Ovis aries: one gene and its partners. The protein of the gene in region 1 interacts with the protein of each later gene in a pairwise test. Links are inferred from orthologs where the notes say so. Each region holds a gene or a part of one and is shown in the gene's direction. Other genes may lie near its edges.

The links. The genes of interacting proteins can lie anywhere in the genome.
Region 2: the proteins of LMNA (region 1) and ZSCAN12 interact in binary tests that used the Homo sapiens proteins (3 or more experiments, as listed by UniProt). The link is inferred for Ovis aries from reciprocal best matches to the Homo sapiens genes LMNA and ZSCAN12.
Region 3: the proteins of LMNA (region 1) and TOR1AIP1 interact in a two-hybrid assay, tested with the Homo sapiens proteins (2 studies listed by BioGRID). The link is inferred for Ovis aries from reciprocal best matches to the Homo sapiens genes LMNA and TOR1AIP1.
Region 4: the proteins of LMNA (region 1) and IFFO1 interact in binary tests that used the Homo sapiens proteins (3 or more experiments, as listed by UniProt). The link is inferred for Ovis aries from reciprocal best matches to the Homo sapiens genes LMNA and IFFO1.
Region 5: the proteins of LMNA (region 1) and VAMP4 interact in a two-hybrid assay, tested with the Homo sapiens proteins (2 studies listed by BioGRID and IntAct, with this or other methods). The link is inferred for Ovis aries from reciprocal best matches to the Homo sapiens genes LMNA and VAMP4.

What each region holds. Positions count from the first base shown.
Region 1 is NC_056054.1:106,135,990-106,140,127, forward strand, and holds the start of LMNA (lamin), read left to right. Parts: upstream 1-1,328; 5' UTR 1,329-1,537; coding exon 1,538-1,893; intron 1,894-4,138.
Region 2 is NC_056073.1:29,395,650-29,399,188, forward strand, and holds part of ZSCAN12 (zinc finger and SCAN domain-containing protein 12), read left to right. Parts: intron 1-1,863; coding exon 1,864-2,008; intron 2,009-3,539. UniProt on the Homo sapiens protein: May be involved in transcriptional regulation.
Region 3 is NC_056065.1:60,524,994-60,527,856, forward strand, and holds the end of TOR1AIP1 (torsin-1A-interacting protein 1), read left to right. Parts: coding exon 1-628; 3' UTR 629-2,340; downstream 2,341-2,863. UniProt on the Homo sapiens protein: Required for nuclear membrane integrity. Induces TOR1A and TOR1B ATPase activity and is required for their location on the nuclear membrane. Binds to A- and B-type lamins. Possible role in membrane attachment and assembly of the nuclear lamina.
Region 4 is NC_056056.1:209,688,644-209,692,182, forward strand, and holds part of IFFO1 (non-homologous end joining factor IFFO1), read left to right. Parts: coding exon of another isoform or gene 1-47; 5' UTR 48-151; coding exon of another isoform or gene 152-380; 5' UTR 381-1,525; coding exon of another isoform or gene 1,526-2,196; 5' UTR 2,197-2,676; coding exon 2,677-3,539. Other genes in the region: NOP2 (probable 28S rRNA (cytosine(4447)-C(5))-methyltransferase), read left to right, coding at 1-47, 152-380, 1,526-2,196. UniProt on the Homo sapiens protein: Nuclear matrix protein involved in the immobilization of broken DNA ends and the suppression of chromosome translocation during DNA double-strand breaks (DSBs).
Region 5 is NC_056065.1:38,427,026-38,430,564, reverse strand, and holds part of VAMP4 (vesicle-associated membrane protein 4), read left to right. Parts: intron 1-530; coding exon 531-631; intron 632-1,925; coding exon 1,926-2,005; intron 2,006-3,539. UniProt on the Homo sapiens protein: Involved in the pathway that functions to remove an inhibitor (probably synaptotagmin-4) of calcium-triggered exocytosis during the maturation of secretory granules.

The sequences.
Region 1 (4,138 bases):
GGTTGGTGGGGCCGGGGCCCGGATGGGAATGGGGAGTAGGAGGCTGATTAAAGGGGTCTCCCGAGAGTCCTGAGGATGGAAGCTCAGGGACGTGGATGATCCTGTTTTGTGAGAGGGCCTGGCCCCTCCCCGGAGCCAGTGGCAAAGCAGACCTGGTCAGAGAGGAATGTGGAGATAAGTGCGGTGCTGGCCCAGCAGTCAGCAAGGCTATGGGCGCCTTTGCTGTCTTCACCCCCATCACCCCCCTTTTCTGGCTGAAACCAGGATAGAGACCCAAAATTGGCTGTCCAGCCCCCAGCCCTGCTCCCCCTTTCAGGCCCCTTTGGGAACCACAAAAATTTGGGACCTGGTGTCCTGGCAATGTGATGAACGCATGCACAGCTCTGGTATCTGTTTTAAATTATCCATTAAAATAAGTACAGTCCTGGAAAAAAAAATAAGTACAGTTCTGGGGTTGGTGGGCTGGGCTGGGCTGGGCTGAGGACTAGAAAGGGACCAAAGCTGGGAGGAACCTCAGGCAGGCTCTTTTTCTGACTGCTGGGGTCCAAAGGAAGGGGATGGGGTGGGCAGTACTTGGGTCCTATTCTTGACCTTTTCTGGGGCCTCGGGGTTGTTCTTTGGGTCTACGATCCAATGGTTGATTTCAAAGGGAGATTAAACTGGGGCAGAAAATAGGAAAAGAATAACCCCAAACTCTGGTCCCCACCCTGAATTTGAGGGTGTAAAAGGAACTCAGGATCCAGAACTTTGTGGCAGCTCTCCCTCCAACCACCCCAGGGAACCCAGGCATATTTCCCCACCCCACCCTGGCATACTGAGATGTGGCTTTGAATGGACTGCCCACTCATGGAGGTGGGGGGTGGGGGAGTAGGGGTGACTCACTATTACTATGGGGAGGAAAAGGGGGGCCAGTGGTGGAAGAGTGAGTCACCCTCATGGGCACCAGCCTCAGCCTCCCCCCACTTTCCTGGATCTGCCTGCCTGGCGCCCTCCCTTGCTTTGTGCCTACTGCCCCTCTTCCCCCTGCCCTTTGCCCACCCAGCCTCACCCCTTGGCTCTGCCCATTTCCCCCTCTAAGGCCAAAGGCAGTGGGGGCAAGCTTTTAGCTTGGATCGCTGAGCAGGTAGAGACCTAGAGACGAGCTTCAGGGAAGCCCCAGGCACGTGGGGGTGCCTGAGGGAGGGTGGGGCCCTACCCCGGGGCTGTCGTCTCCCCTGCTCACCCCTCCCTCTCCCACCCCTGTGGGTTAGCGACGGCCCCTTTAAGAGAGTGGCCCCTCCTCCCATTCCCTAGACCTATTAGAGCCTTTGCCCGGGAGCCGGTGACTCAGAGTGTTCGCGGGAGCTCCGCATCCACACCGGCCAACCGAGATCCAGAGGTCTGACAGCGCCCGGCCCAGATCCACAAGCCTGCCAGGAGCCAGCCGAGAGCCAGCCGGCCGGCGCGCTCCTACCCCAGCAGTCTCTGTCCTTCGGCCTGAGCCCCGCGTCCTTCCCGGGACCTCTGCCCCTCGGGCAGTGCTGCCACCCTGCCGGCCATGGAGACCCCGTCCCAGCGGCGCGCCACCCGCAGCGGGGCGCAGGCCAGCTCCACCCCGCTGTCACCCACCCGCATCACCCGGCTGCAGGAGAAGGAGGACCTACAGGAGCTCAATGACCGCTTGGCTGTCTACATCGACCGGGTGCGCTCGCTGGAAACGGAGAATGCAGGTCTGCGCCTTCGCATCACTGAGTCTGAGGAGGTGGTCAGCCGCGAGGTGTCTGGCATAAAGGCCGCCTACGAAGCCGAGCTGGGGGATGCCCGCAAGACCCTCGACTCGGTGGCCAAGGAGCGCGCCCGCCTGCAGCTGGAGCTGAGCAAAGTGCGAGAGGAGTTCAAGGAGCTCAAGGCGCGGTGAGTGCCCCAGGTGGCGGCGTGGGGCCGGGAGGGGCAGTGAGGGCAGAGGGACTGCCGCCCCTGCCTGGGCTCCAGGCCGTTGGTAACGTTGCCGTATAGTTTCCTCCCTCCCGGAACTGCCCCCAGCGAGTGCCTGGCAGTGCCAAGGGAAATTGTCAAGACAGGACTGAGAAGGGAGAGGTCTCTGGGAGAGGGTGGGGTATATAAGGAATGGCGGGGTTCATCAGGGCCAAGTAGGAGCTGGTGGCAGGCCCGCAATCTGTCAGGGTGGGATTTGCCAGTCATTTGGGGCCTGAGAGAGGGCCTTGAGCAAAGCCGAACTGGCCTTGCCAGGTCTAAGACATCTAGGCGCCCAAGACACTTAGGAGTGGGTGAGAGGGTCCTGTTGGAACTTTCTTGGCAGCCTTGGCACCGTGCCAACCTTGCCCAGCCTGTCTCTGAAGACATGACTCCCACTAAAACAGAGCTCCTAGGCTGGGAGATGTCTAGTGGTGCCAGAGAGAGGTCACCAAAGCCGGGTGACCCCCTTTTCCCCCTGCAGGGGCACAGCGATGGCCCCCACTGCACAACCCTTTCCCAGGCTCTTGTTAAGAGTTTTGAAGTGCTCCTTTACTCCCTGCATGTCTGGGACTTCCCCTGGCCTCTGACAGGCCCACCGATCAACTCTAGGAGAGCCGCTCCCCCGCAGCTCCCACAGCCCTTGGCCTGCTTGGCCCAGGAATGCAAGGGAGGGAGGGAGACGGAGGGCAGAGGCTCCCGGCTCAGGAAGTTGTGTTATGTATGCCCAGGTCTGTACCTCCCCTTCCCCATCTCCCCACCCTCACCCTCTGCCTAGTCCCTCCCTGCCTCCCTTCTTGGGGTGAGCCACTTTCATTTTCCCGGCCAAGCCTAGCAGCCTCTGCTCTGGCCGGCCCTCTCAGCCACTGGGACATTTTTTTTGTTATTGTTCTTTGCCTTATTAAACTCCTGGAATACTGTGACATTTTTGAAATCCAGCCGTTGGAAGACTCAGGCCCCTCCTACCTTACCCATCCCTGCCCCACCCTACCGCACCCTACTTGTCTCCTCCCTCTTCTCTGAAAAGGCCTTTGGAGCTGGGAAGTTTAGGCCCTCTTCAGCTCCCCAAGGATTTGTTTTCTGAGAAGACCTCAGCCAGAGAGCACTAAGGTGCTTGGAGACCCCTGGCTGAGGCTGTAGTGGTTGGTCTTCTCTTCTTCCCCTTTGCGTCGTCTTCTCCAGGCTCATGCTCTTCTCAGAAGCGCTGTGAATTTGCTACTCTTTATACCCCTTCGCTAGCCCCCAGCCCCTGGCATGGTGGGTGTGGCAGATGTATCATCCCCTAGTGAAGAGTAGATGGAAATGGTGTGGGTAGGCAGGTGACTCTCCCCCCCACCACCCCCCGCACCCCCAAGCCCAGGCTTGCCAGGGGTCAGTTCCCTGATCAGACCAGGGATCCAAAGCCAGGAATCCTAACCATTAGGCCACCAGGGAACTCAGAGTGACTATTTCTGTTGAAAGGGATCATTCCTGTCATTGTCCACTAGTGATATGAATAACTTAGTTAACAGGGCAGACAAGAGGCAAGCTAGGGGAGTCCCAGAGAATTAGTCTTCCAAACTAGCTTACCCAGCTACCGAACTACTACCTTGCGGGTCCCTGCCAAGGGCATTCTTAGCAGGTCTTTTTCTGGGGAAGGTTTTGACCAGGGAACAGAACGAGTGGAGTCTATGGTCTCTCGCTAACCCAGCCACACCAGTCTGTCTCTGCCTCCTGGTGCAGCTGTCCCGGTCTGGGACACCAGGCGGGTGTGTGCGCACGTGGGACAGGGCCGGGGGTGGTGTGTGTACTTGTTATATTTAGCTGCCTGCCTCTCCTCTCCCCCACTGATCCTGGCTGGGGGTGCTGGGCTTCCGGGAGAGGGGGGGTGGTTTTGCACACCTGGATCCTAGGCTGATAGGAGGTTGGGCGGAGACAAAGAGGGCTCACTTGAGGTTTCTGTCCCCTTCTATGTCCCCAGTGGGAGGAGCAAGGATTTGTTGCTCCCTTTTGTGTCTGCTTTGCTCAGGGTGAGGTGAAGAACGCCATGAAGAATTTGGGAGAGGAAGAAAGGCATTGTCCTAACTCCTCCCACTAAAGCCTAGAGAGAAGGTGTTGTCTGGTTTAATGTTTAATTAGAGCTCAGAGTTCAGGGCCAGGCTTTGGGTTGGGATGCAGAGCTGTCTGTAAGGTTTTGTGGCGATTC
Region 2 (3,539 bases), on another chromosome or scaffold:
AAGAGAACCAAAAGGAAGAAAGGGATTCCTAGGTGCAGGCAGCAAGTAACTTGGTTTTAGTCATGATGAATTTGTATTGCCAACCAGTCCTTTCCTTTGAGGCTTGCTGTGGGTAGCTAGTGGTTTATAAGGCCTAGTCAAAGATCCAGGGACAGAAGGCACAGTTCACTGTACTGGGCTTTTTTTGCTCCCTTCTCCGCCAAATTTGAGGGCTTCTCAGGTGGTGCTGGTGGTAAAGAATCTGCCTGCAATATAAGAGATTCGGGAGACTTGTGTTCAATCCCTGGGTTGGGAAGGTCTCCTAGGGGAGGATATGGCAACCAGCTCCAGTATTTTTGTCTGGAAGATACCATGGACAGGGGAGCCTGCTGGACTATTTCCATGGTGCTGCAAAGAGTTGAACAGGACTGAGTGACTGAGCGCACACACCCCAAAATTTGAAGTATCAAAACATCTTTTTCTGTACATTTGAGATAGTATTATGCTGATTTTGGCTCTTATTCTGAGAGAAAGATTACAAAATGAAACTGTCAGAGAAATAGTGTCAGTGTATGGTAATTTTTTATTTACAAACTTTAGCCATTGAAGGGTATGTGTGTGTGTGTGTTAGTTGCTCGGTCATGTCTGACTCATTGTGACCCCATGGACTATAGCCAGTGTCCTCTCTCCATGAGATTTTCCAGGCAAGAATATTGGAGTGGGTTACCATTCCCTTCTCCATGGAATCCTCCTGATTCAGGGATTGAACCCAGTTCTCCTGCATTGCAGGTAGATTCTTTACAGTCTGAGCCACCAGACAAGCTATTGAAGAGGCATGGGGAAGTAATTTGAGGGCCTATCACATGCCAATGCCTGTGTGAGGTGCTTTACATGCATGATGTCATATAATCTCAGAATAATTCCTAGCCCAAGGTGACAGCTATCGATACTAAACTAAGAAACAGAGTAAGGAAATTAGATTCCGATTCCTGTTTTTATACTACCATGCTGGGGAAACCTTTTCTTCTTCTTTTTTTTTTTTTTTGTTTTTGTTTTAAGTGCAAGAGGCAATGGGCCCATGGAGGAATGCAAGCTACGAGTGGTTGAAATTGCTGAGTAAATGAGTTAATTGAAGGAGCAAGGATCAAAGGGAAGCAGAAAGGGATGAGATTGAAGGCAAAAGTAGAGATACAAGCCTTGAAAAAGAAAAGACTTCTTCCTCTAAGATAGAAGGAAAGGAGAAGAGTAAGAGAGTGGAGATAGGTAAAGTGAATAAGAGTTTTTTTTTGAGATGGTCGTGATCTTGGAGAAATAGAAAACAAGATCATCTTCCCAGAAAGAATGGGGATGGGGACCTCAGAAGAGCATTGTCTATTAGGAATATGAGAGATTTCTCTTTTTCCTTTCCTCTTTCCTTCTCATACCCTCTTTCTTTTCTTTCTCTTTCTCCTTTGTTCCCTTCTGTCTTTCTTTATAATTTCTCTCATTATTTCCCTTTACTTTTCCCCCTTCCTTTCCTTCTTTCTCACTTCTGTCTTATTTCCGCATTAATTCTTTTCCACTCCTTTCTGCCTCTGCCTCTTTTTACCTTCTTTTCCTTCTCTTTGTCACTTCTCTATTTCTTTGAGCATAGACAGAAATGTAAAAGTGGTACATTTAATATGCTTTAACTGTTAAGATAGGGGAAATTATTTCCAACTGGGGAAGCGAAGGTTTCCCAGAAGAGGTGACATTTGTATTGGCCTTGAGTAGGATTGTGGCAGGCTGTTACATGGAAAGAAGTTTGTTTCAAGTTTCAGAGAGCTGGGTGCCACTGCCCTAGATAGTATATTCTTGTTTAATGTTACCAGGGTGAGGTTCTAAGCTATATCTCATTTACCTCAGGTCTCAGTCCGCACTGAGGAACAGGAAATGTTCTTACAGGAGATTGTACCTCTAAGAACAGAACAAGAATCCAGAATATGCCTTCCATCTGTGCAAGCCCAGCCAAAGTGTGAATCTGCAGAACTTGCAGCCCAACAGAAGCAAGGTAAAGAAGGAAGACCCATCTTGGGAGGAAGGGGAAGACGGGGGCCAACATAGGACCCTGGGACTCTTTTGTTCTTTGTGCTGTTTGTGAGCACTGAAGTCAGGAAGGTCTCTCAAGAGCTCTGACGGCTCATGCATAGACCTGAGGCAGCCTGGTTTATCACTCTGCAACTCTTTTTTTCTCTTTATGTTAATACTCTCTAAATCCTGGCTGTATTTTATTTGAAATCACTTAGTTTAGTCCTTCTGATAGTTATTTTCCTCTATACTGACTTCCTTCCTATGTATAGCCTTTATCCTACCAGACAATACCACTGTCTTGCAATTTATTCTGTGTCCTTCAGTAAATAAACCTTTGCCCCATGATCTCTTCAGCTAACTTTCAGACGGTTCAGGGACGAATACATATATGTGCGTATGAGTGAGTGAGTGAAGTCACTCAGTCGTGTCCGACTCTTTGTGACCCCATGGACAGTAGCCTACAAGGCTCCTCTGTCCATAGGATTTTCCAGGCAAGAGTACTGGAGTGGGTTGCCATTTCCTTTTCCAGGAGATCTTCCCAACCCAGGGATCAAACCCAGGTCTCCCACATTGTAGGCAGACGCTTTACCATCTGAGCCACCAGGGAAGAGCCCATATGTGCGTATACATACACACATATATATTACTCTTATAAAGAGAAGGAGTAATAAAGCAGATGTGGCAAAATGTTCAAAGTGGGTGAAGGGGTGAAAGAATGTACCTTCCTTATTTCTACTTTCTCTGTTTTTTCACTTACTTTTTAAAAACAGGTGAAAATTCACATGGTTGAGAAAAGTAATAACCTAAAGTTACCCAGTGAAAAGATATGCTGCCACTCAATTACCCTAGCCATTTGGTCTCCTTACCTCTGTTTTGAAATAGGTTGTCACTGTTACTAGTTTCTTGGGTGTCCTAGAGATTTTTAACCATATATGTATATTTCTCATATTCAAATATATTTTCCTCTATCACTAAGATTAAAGAACCTTGCATTTTTTATTTCTTAACAGCTGCTTAATTTTAAAATATACAGCTATATCAGGCTCCCCAGGTGGCTCAATGATAAAGAATCTACCTGCCAGTGCAGGAGACAAGGGTTCAATCCCTGAGACAGGAAGATCCCTTGGAGAAGGAAATGGCAACCCACTCTAGTATTCTTGCCTGGGAGATCCCATGGGCAGAGAAGCCTGGTGAGCTACAGTCCATGGGGTCACAAAAGAGTTGGACACGACTTAGTAACTAAACAACAGCAACAACAATATGGCTATATCATGCAGTGAACTTAGCTTTCTCCTGCTAATAACATTTAAGTTGGCCCCACTCTTTTAGTATAACAAATAGTGCTGTGATAAATAACCATATGTGTGAATATATCTGTAGCATAAATTCCTTCTAGGTGGAATTACTACGTCAAAGGTTATATATATATTTGTAATTTTGATATATATTGTCAAATTGCCCTCTAATAAAGCTTGGATCAATTAACACTCTTACTGGCAATGTTTGATATT
Region 3 (2,863 bases), on another chromosome or scaffold:
GATGAATAAGTACCAAGGTCAAGATGAGAAGCTGTGGAAAAGGAGCCAAACATTACTGGAAAAACATCTCAATGGTTCCCAACCTCGGCCTCAGCCTGCGATTTTGCTGCTCACTGCTGCCCGAGATGCTGAAGAAGCACTCAGGTGTCTGAGCGAACAGATCGCTGATGCCTACTCCTCCTTCCGTAGTGTTCCTGCCATCCGGATTGATGGGGCTGGCAAAGCTGCTCGAGACAGTGATACTGTCAAAGAAGAAGTAGATCAGGAACTGAGCACTGGGTTCAGAAATGGCCAGAAAGCAGCTGTGGTCCACCGCTTTGAGTCACTGCCTGCAGACTCTACTTTGATCTTCTACAAGTATTGTGACCACGAAAGTGCAGCCTTCAAAGATGTAGCCTTAGTCCTGACTGTCTTATTGGAGGAGGAGACACTTGGAACCAATCTGGGCCTCAAGGAAATTGAAGAAAAAGTGAGAGATTTCCTCAAAGTCAAGTTCACCAACTCTGACACATCCAGCTCCTACAAGCATATGGACCCAGACAAACTGAGTGGGCTCTGGAGCCGTATTTCTCACTTAGTCCTCCCTGTACAACCTGAAAATGACCTGAAAAGGGGCATCTGCTTTTAAAGGAAGACGGAAGAGAAAGTTATGTCTCAAGTGCTGAGAATTTTTTCAAACTTTCTAACCAGACAGCACTCAGCTCTTTTTGAAAGACCTGGTTTCTTTTTAAAGGAGGTTAGGTTCTTAGGTAAACATGGAACATCTGTATTGTTTATTCAGCCTAATTATGTTACCTGAGAGACTCATTTCCCACTGAGATCTGTTAATGATATCTACAGACTATAAATTATATACAGTCCCATAGAGGATCTACTTAAATTCTGGAGTGAATCATTATTCCTGTGGTATGACCAGTGGGAGGGATTTGGCTCCTTCCTATAAATCCTCCCTAATGTTTTAACTTGGTTTTTTTTTCACAGAGTTTGTTATTAGTAAGATAGCTCCCTGAGCGCAACTATGGGCTTTCCTGTTTTGTTCTCTTTTTTCATCATTTAGATGTGAATTCCTTAGTCAGCTTCTCCTTATAGGAACAAAAATAATGAAGGGCCATCTGAGTGTTTGTTTGGGTGTTTCTTTCTTTTTTTCTTTAATTTTGGAGGACAGGGAAAAGTTGTGAAATGGAGAAGGAAAGGGGAGGAAAAGTTTTCAAGATGAAATATTAAAATAAGTCACTGGGGGAATTCCTTGATGGTCTCGTGGGTGGGACTCCATGTTCTCACTGCCAAGGGCCTGGGTTCCATCCTTGGTTGGGGAGCTAAGGTTCTGCAAGCCACCCCATGCACACTCAGAAATTTTTAAAAAAAAAGTCACTGTCACCTGGGGTTCATCAAACATAGCTATATGAACTCCATTCTCAGTGAATTCTGTCGGGACTTTTATTTTCCTTGAAGAAATTTTTACTCCTCCCAAGGATTCTGAAGCATGTATATGATGAGGTTTAGTATATTTGCTCACTTGGCGCTTAAGAACAGGCAAATTCAGGCAGTTTATTTTGTTCATATCCTGAAAATTTTGTTAAGAAAGATAATGTCAGAAATTGGTAAACCGCTTTGTCAACGACCTCTCCTCAGTGACTGAAGAGGGCTTTGATTTTCTGCATGTCCATTTGTTGCAGTCTACGTCCTTTAATGACACTCTTGTAACAAGTATAAAGATTTGCTATGCATGTGATAAATTCTGTTGAGTGCCTCAAGCCAAAAAGAAAGTGAAGTTTACTATATATGAAGGATGTTAAGATGTACTGCTGTACATAACTGTACCATAGTATTTCAGTTTTAACTTTGCATCTCTTAACAGCTTTCTCATCTGTCAACAGCTTTGGTTTTCTTAGAATCTTAAAATTCTGGATCAGCTTTATTTTTTTATTGTCTACAAACCTTTAAATGGCAATATTGCTTTTAGAATACTAAAGCCTGTCAGTGGCTTCTTCATTTACCTTTTGAGGATCCCATAACTGATGGTAGAATATGGTCTTATTTCTTCCCACTAGGACTACCAGTATTCGTAAGTTTATACTCCTTATTATAATCTGTTCCTGACACTGTCAGAAGTCAGATATTCTTGATTTATAGAGGATTCTAAAACAAGAATTTTTGAAAAGGCTTATTTTATACATATATGTATTATATGGAGAAACAGATGTTTTTATTAACTGTTTCATTGACCAAAATTTTAAAATAATATTACTTATATCAGGAAAAATAATTGTAGCAGCTAATCTGTAAATGACTTTAAAAGCTATTTTAGTAATTTAAATAAATTTACTTTTTTGGTTTGTACTCTGTGTTGTAAGTTTAATGACTCGTATACCTTTTAAAAAATTCCTAGGGTTTTCTTTACACTTGAACAATTTTAGTGAGTTCTGCTTGGAGAAATAAAGGGCAAAGAGAAAACTGGAGCTCCTCACAAGTACGTTGGTAGAAAATACAATCACTGTGGTTTTCTGTTTCATCTGGGGATTTTGACCTATCACGAAAGTTGAATTGAAGTATTCCTCACTTGGTAAAAATCTACACATGTTTCTCAATTTTTCCATTCTCACCTGCCTAAGGAAACTTTTTAGGGTTTTTTTTTTTTTCCCCTAATCATCTACCCCCATGAAATTTTAATACTTCATACAGACTGTGAATCATATACATATTTTTATGCTTTATACACATGAAGGGTAAGATTTTGTTGCCCTCACTAAAAATGTATGCTCAAGAACATCCATATTTTAGATCATTGATGGCTGAAACATTGTTTTGTTCATGTTACCATAATACTTTTGAAGGGGAAATTGTAATAAGTCATTGGCTTGAA
Region 4 (3,539 bases), on another chromosome or scaffold:
GCTCCAAGACGGGGGGCTATCTCGTCTACTGCACCTGCTCCATCATGGTGAGGCCTGTTGGGGCGCGGGAGGGAGCTAGCCTGGGGCTGTCATGCCCTCAGCGCCCCTTCAACTCCAGCTCTGCTTTCCTTCCGTCTCCCCTACATGTTAGGTGGAGGAGAACGAGTGGGTGGTGGACTACGCCCTGAAAAAGAGAAACGTGCGCCTGGTGCCCACTGGCCTGGATTTCGGCCAGGAGGGCTTCACCCGCTTCCGGGAAAGGCGCTTCCACCCCACGCTGCGCTCCACCCGCCGCTTCTACCCTCACACCCACAACATGGATGGCTTCTTTATTGCCAAGTTCAAGAAATTCTCCAATTCTATCCCCCAGTCCCAAACGGGTAAGTGATCTGCTTTTTGCTCTCTTCATCTCCACCTTTGCTCTTTCCCCCTCCAGAGGCTGCAGGGAAGGGTGTGGCTGCAGGGAAAGGTGTGGCTGCAGGGAAAGGTGTGGCTGCAGGGAAGGGTGGTCCTTGCCCCCCTGGCTTACCCTTGAATGCTGGGGTGAGAGATCCTTTTCATTCCAGCTAGAACTGGTCCCATGCCTGAACCCCAGTTGGGTATGTTAAAGGGTTTGTGTGGATCGAGCCCTTTGCTCAGTTGTGCCAGGTGGCTGCAGTTGTCAGCAGTGAATGCTCTCCAGCAGGGGTGTGGTTTCTTGGCCGGGGGTGGCCTTCCTGGTAACAGATCTCAGCCTCAGCACTGGGCTGGCGCAGGACTCCTCAGAACATCAGTTCTTTGCAGTCTCACTAATTGCAGATGGTTTTCTTGGCTGTCTTGGGGAGTTTGGACTGGGCCATAAAGGCCAGGGTGGGGTTTTCTGAAACAAACCTGAGGGCTCTGCCTCCTGGGATGTCACCCTAGGCTTAGTTGCACGAGGGAGAGGTGGACTTCTTTGCACACAAACTTGGTGACTTTTCTCTATAAACAATGCCTCTTAACATGAGTCACATTTGAATGTTAACACATCTCTTCAAGAAGCAGCAAAGTACCCTATATATATATATTTTTTGCTGTAACTTAAAAGATACATATTGACTATGTCAGTCTTCATTCATGAAGACTAGCTTGTCTTTAGTTACTCTGTGTGCCTTATTTGTCTGCATCTCATCAAAAGCTGCATGGAAGAAAACATCTTTTCTGATTAAAGAAGAAGCCCAGTGCTTCAAGTTTGTTCAGGATTCACCTCCTGCTGGCCCCCAAGGGGCACAGCTTCCTCTGAAAACCTTTTGGCCCATGGATGGGTAATGGTATCTTCTCTTTATTACAGATTGCAAATACGACTTGAGTAGAGGCTAGGTGAAACTAAGTAATCTGAATCTAGGTGATCTGCTCCTAGGTACTGCCCCTGTTGTGTGGGACACTTGGCCAGGAGGTGGCACCCAGGAAGTCTCCTTACTTTAATATCTCTGCTTTTTCTGCTCCACTGATGATCGTGACCCAGTGATGAGGCCTTATTTCTCAAACTGTTTAATTTTAACCACAGGAAATTCTGCGACATCCACCCCCACAAACCCAGACTTGCCCAACGTGAATGGGCAGGTGACCCCCAAGTCTGAGAGTGGCAGCCCGTCTACCAAGAAGGCTGGTCAGGCAAAGCAACGGCTGCAGAAACAGCAGCATCCCAAGAAGTCTTCCTTCCAGAAGCAGAATGGCATCTCCAAAGGGACGGACACAGAATTGTCCACTGTGTCTGCTGTCACAAAGGCCCAGGCGTCCTCCAAGCTCCAGGACAGTAGTCAGCCGCCCGAAACAGCAGCAGTGGTCAGGGAACCGAAGGAGGCTGGGAAGCTAAAGCAACAGTCACCCAAACTGCAGTCCTCCAGGAAAGCTGCCTTCCGGAAGCAGCGTGCTCCTCCCAAGACCATGGACACAGACTTGCCTGCAGCACCATCCCTCTCCAAGACTCAGGCCACACCCAAGCCTGAGGACCGTGACCAGCCCTTTGGAAACACCACAGGGGCTGAGAAGGTTAAGCATCAGGTGGCAGAGCAGCCTTTCAAGAAAGCTGCCTTCCAGAAACGGGATGGCACCCCCAAGGGACTAAAGACTCCCACCGTGTCCTCCCGCAGTTCCAGCCGGCCCCCGCCAGCAAAGAGGAGAAAATCTCAGTCCAGAGGCAGCCTCCAGCCTGCGCTGACTTCAGTGGATGGTTGAATTAGACTGCCATTGTTGCAGGGCTGGAACTCTCCTCTGTGAGGATGGCTTCCCAACCATGGATGTGAAATTTAATACATGTTTTACAGTCCCTGGCCACTGTGTGTTTTTTGGGGGTGGGTACTGGCTTTGCTGCTTAAAAGAGCAGAGGAGGGAGGGTGAGATAGGGAACCTCAGAAGAGGGGACAATGCAGTGCACTGAGAAATCAGGTCAGTTCCGGGGAACCCAGGGAAGGAGATTCATGGAGTCAGAACTGGGTGTTTGGACTTAGGAGGGAGCAGGGCAATAGGGATGTAGATGGATTTCGTGCTACCAGAACTACGCAGTACTGGAGGACCTGGGTTTCAGTCACTCAGCCGCTGTCTGGATTCCGGGGTCCGCTGGGCTCAGGGCTCAGCCCCAGACCCGGAAAGGTCTGTCCAGGTGCCAGCCTTCGAACGAGCCTTTCATTGGCTTACCCCCTGCCCTCCCCCGCCCCCATGACCTCTGCCCCTCCCGTCGAGCCGTCTGATTGGCTGTTCCGCGTCCCCCTGGCGTCTCATTGGCTCTCCTCCCTCGCCCAACATCCCTGCTCCCGCACGGGTTTCTGTCTCCCAGCAGAAGGCGCAGCCATGAATCCGTTATTCGGCCCCAACCTCTTCCTCCTCCAGCAGGAGCAGCAGGGCCTGGCCGGGCCGCTGGGGGACCCCTTGGGAGGCGACCACTTGGCCGGCGGCGGGGACGTGCCCCCGGCGCCGCTCGCCCCGACCGGCCCGGCTCCCTACTCGCCGCCGGGGCCGGGCCCGGCGCCCCCCGCCGCCATGGCCCTCCGCAACGACCTGGGCTCCAACATCAACGTGCTCAAGACCCTCAACCTCCGCTTCCGCTGTTTCCTGGCCAAGGTGCACGAGCTGGAGCGCCGCAACCGACTGCTGGAGAAGCAGCTGCAGCAGGCGCTGGAGGAGGGTAAGCAGGGCCGGCGGGGCCTGCCTCGCCGCGACCAGGCCGTGCAGACCGGCTTCGTCAGCCCCGTCCGACCCCTGGGGCTGCCCCTGGGCTCCCGGACGGCCGCCGTCTGCACCCCATCGGCGCGGGTCCTGGGCTCGCCCGCGCGCTCACCGGCCGGCCCCCTCGCGCCGTCCGCGGCCTGCCAGCCAGCGCCCTCCACCTCCGCCTCCACCGCCTACTCCTCGTCGGCCCGCTTCATGCCCGGCACCATCTGGTCCTTCTCTCACGCTCGCCGGCTCGGGCCGGGACTGGAGCCCACTCTGGTGCAAGGGCCTGGCCTGTCGTGGGTGCACCCCGACGGGGTGGGAGTCCAGATCGACACCATCACGCCCGAGATCCGCGCGCTCTACAACGT
Region 5 (3,539 bases), on another chromosome or scaffold:
TGGCATCTCATGGAAGATAACTACCTAGAAATTTCAAGATTGGTCCTTGATGAACAATAGCTGTGCTTCCATTATAGTTAAATGCAGATCTCTACATTCACTGCCTTATATCTCTTTCTCAAGTAGCTGGATGTGCTTGGCAGGACTTATACCCAAATTGTTCACTTATTGAACTGATAAGTCTTAAGCGCATACTCTGTCCCAAGCAGTGTAACAGGTACTGGGGCTACAAAAATGAACCAAATAGGCAGTTACTGAGCTTTCTGACAATGCATTTAATTTGCAGAAACCGGACTAAGAATAAACTATTTTTAAGTTAAATATTACTTTTATTTATATTATGTTGTCTTCTAATTTTGTGAGTACTCAAGCCCACAAATGGAAGGAATGTTGCTACAAGCCTTAAACTTAAAAACTTTAGACTTGAATGATTCTGAGAACTTGTTATTTTCTACAGTGTCTAATGAAATTTTCAAAAATTGTAAAATTCTCAAGAATACATTATTTTTAAATCTTTTTTTTTAAACTAGTGTTCAGAATCAGGTGGATGAAGTCATTGATGTCATGCAAGAAAATATTACAAAGGTAATAGAAAGAGGGGAGAGACTAGATGAACTACAGGACAAATCAGGTACAGATACCTCATATATTTCTTGAAATTCTTAATCTGTATTTTGATAGTGTACTTCTCCCATTTTTTTAGCCAAAGTTTAGAAATCTTGTCTTAGGAAAAATGGTATTTATGGTTTTAGTGTTTTAACTTTAGCTTCCTTTACTTTTTTAAAAAATTATTTTATTCAAGTATAGTTGATTTATGTGTTAATTTCTACTATACAGCATTTATATATACACACATATATATACATTTTCATATTCTTTTCCATTATGGTTTATTCCAGGATATTGATTATAGCTTGCTGTGCTACACACTAGGACCTTGTTGTTTATTCATCTTATATATAATGTTTTGTATCTGCTAATCCCAAACTCCCAATCCATCCTTTCCCACTGCCTCCCACCCACTGCCCACCGTAGGCAACCACAAGTCAGATTTCTACTTAGGTCTTCCCTCCATTTTCCAATTGGGTTGTTTGAAACTTCATTGTTAAGTTGTATATATTAGCTCCCTTCAGTTTGAAACATCTTATTGTTGTATTATTGCTTTAATTGATTGGTTGAGAATGGAAAAATTAAAAATTCATTATTGAAGAATTAGAGTATTTTTTTCTTTTGTCCTGTTATGTTGATGTACTTTGTATCTCTCCTGATCTCATGAAAAATAGGCCTAATCACTTCTATTCAAACTTATTTCAAACTTATCCAGGGTATTTATCTCATGCTTTGCCTGGTGACTTAGTAACCTTTCTGTACTGACAGATGTTAGTCTCTATTCTTTTAACTGTTCCTGGCACTTATTAGGTACTCACATATTGTTTAAATGATGAATGGCTGAATGACTGTCTGATTAGTCCTTCACAGACTTGTTTAACAAAAAAAATTATTCAACCACTTTTAAAATTCATACTGTTTTGCTTCAGAATCACTTTTGATATCATCTAAGAATCTGCTTTCTCCACTTGTAGATTTTTTCTATAGTTGTGCCAGGTATTTGAGTTTCTAAAGAGTATTTTCTAACAGAATTCATAAGTTTATTGAAAGCACTGAGACCCTAGAAGACCTCTCTTACTCTTATCATAAAAGTGGATTGAGCAAACTGACCTGCAGCCACTTTTTCCTTTTTTTTTTTTTTTAAGAATACAGAATACCAGAGTTTGTGGGTGGAGGAAAGGAAAGATGTTGTTTTCATGCTTAAAGGGGAATAAATTTGCAGAAGTAGAAATTAATATTTTCTTGTCTTTGTGTGACTAGATAAAAGAATCCTGTTATGTCGTTTAATCCTTCTCTCCATCCTCTATGTGATATAGAAAGCTTATCGGATAATGCAACTGCTTTTAGCAACAGATCCAAACAGCTTCGAAGGCAAATGTGGTGGCGTGGATGCAAAGTAAGTAAATCAGAAAATGCTGGATAGGTTGGCCAGCATATCCAGTGGTGATCAAAGGCATAAAGGAAAAAGGGCCTCTAGATTATCAGCTCTGTAAGGACAGGGGCTACAACTCTCTTGCTCATTATTACATATTCTGAGCCTGAGACATGGTGGAACTCTGAATATTTGTAGAATTATTATCTTTTGGGCTAGAAATAACTAAAGGAATCAAGCAGTGCCTGAAAGGATGTTTTCATGGGTTTCTTCGTAGAGAATAAACCACATTTTATTAATAATTTAGCTTCCTCTAGACTTATAAGAAATATTAACTTATAATTTATTATTAGTACCTTTTTGGAGCAACCTATACCATTATATACAGATGTTTAGAAAGTAGAATGCAAGCTAGAGAAAAATACAATTTTCCTGTTGGAAAGGAGGACAAAAATAAAAGCAATTGAATGTGTCAGAATTCATATGGCAAATGGGGGGGCTAAAAAAAATCCCACTGTCCCTCATTATTCTAGAGTCTTCTGCCATACGACCCTGAACCCATCTGCCTGATCTCAGAAGCTGGGCAAGGTCAGGGGCCTGGTTGTACTTGGATAAGAGGAATAAGAAGTAAAACATTTTAACAAGGAAAAAATTAGGAATCATTATATGCTGATATATTCCTGCAAAACATCTTATGGAAATGAATTTACTTCTTAAATCAAGTATGGCTACTGCTTATCAAGCAGAAAAATGTTTCTCTCAAGATTTTATAGAAAATTTCATGTCATATGAGCATATCTCATCTTTTTCCTCCTGATACTTTGTATCATTTTAAAGTCTCTCATTTTCCAGTTTAGGAATAACTTTCAAAACATGATGTTGACATATGCTGAGGATTTCTTCCAAGAGTTTCATTAGATTTACTTCTTTTTGTCTGTGTACCTGTTGAATCCTCTTATTTTCAGAAATAGAACTTAGGGGAAGATACAAGTTTCATTGCTCCTCTTGTCTAGAATTTAAATTTTCTGGGTTTTTTAAATGAGTAAATTTTCTATCTCTATACAAATGTTCTGTTCTGGAAATTAGTTTGGTGGAACAAAAAGTCAATGAGCCATTAACCTCCTCTCCCCATACATACACATGACTCATTCACATGGCCATTAATAAAATGATAATGTACATTTTGTGTAGCTTTTTTTAACCATAGCTATAGATTTTCATTTTGTACTTTATGGGGTCCAGATCAAAGAAATAGCATGCTTTTAAGGGGAAAAATTAGAGTATATTTTTAATTTATATTTTTAATAGTCTCTACATCACTGCCATTTTCTGGTTTAACTTCAGAGTTATTATTTAGGAAGGACTAAGAAAAGGGCTATAGAAATGGAAAAGAGATTAGAAGTTGCCACTGGCTAAGGGTCGAGGAGTAGAGATTGACTACAGCAGGGTATGAGGGCACTTTCTGAGTGATAAAGTGTCTTATGTTCAACTGCGATTGACAACTAGATGTCAAAATGCATCAAAATGAACTCTAAAAGGGTGAGTTTTATTGTATGTA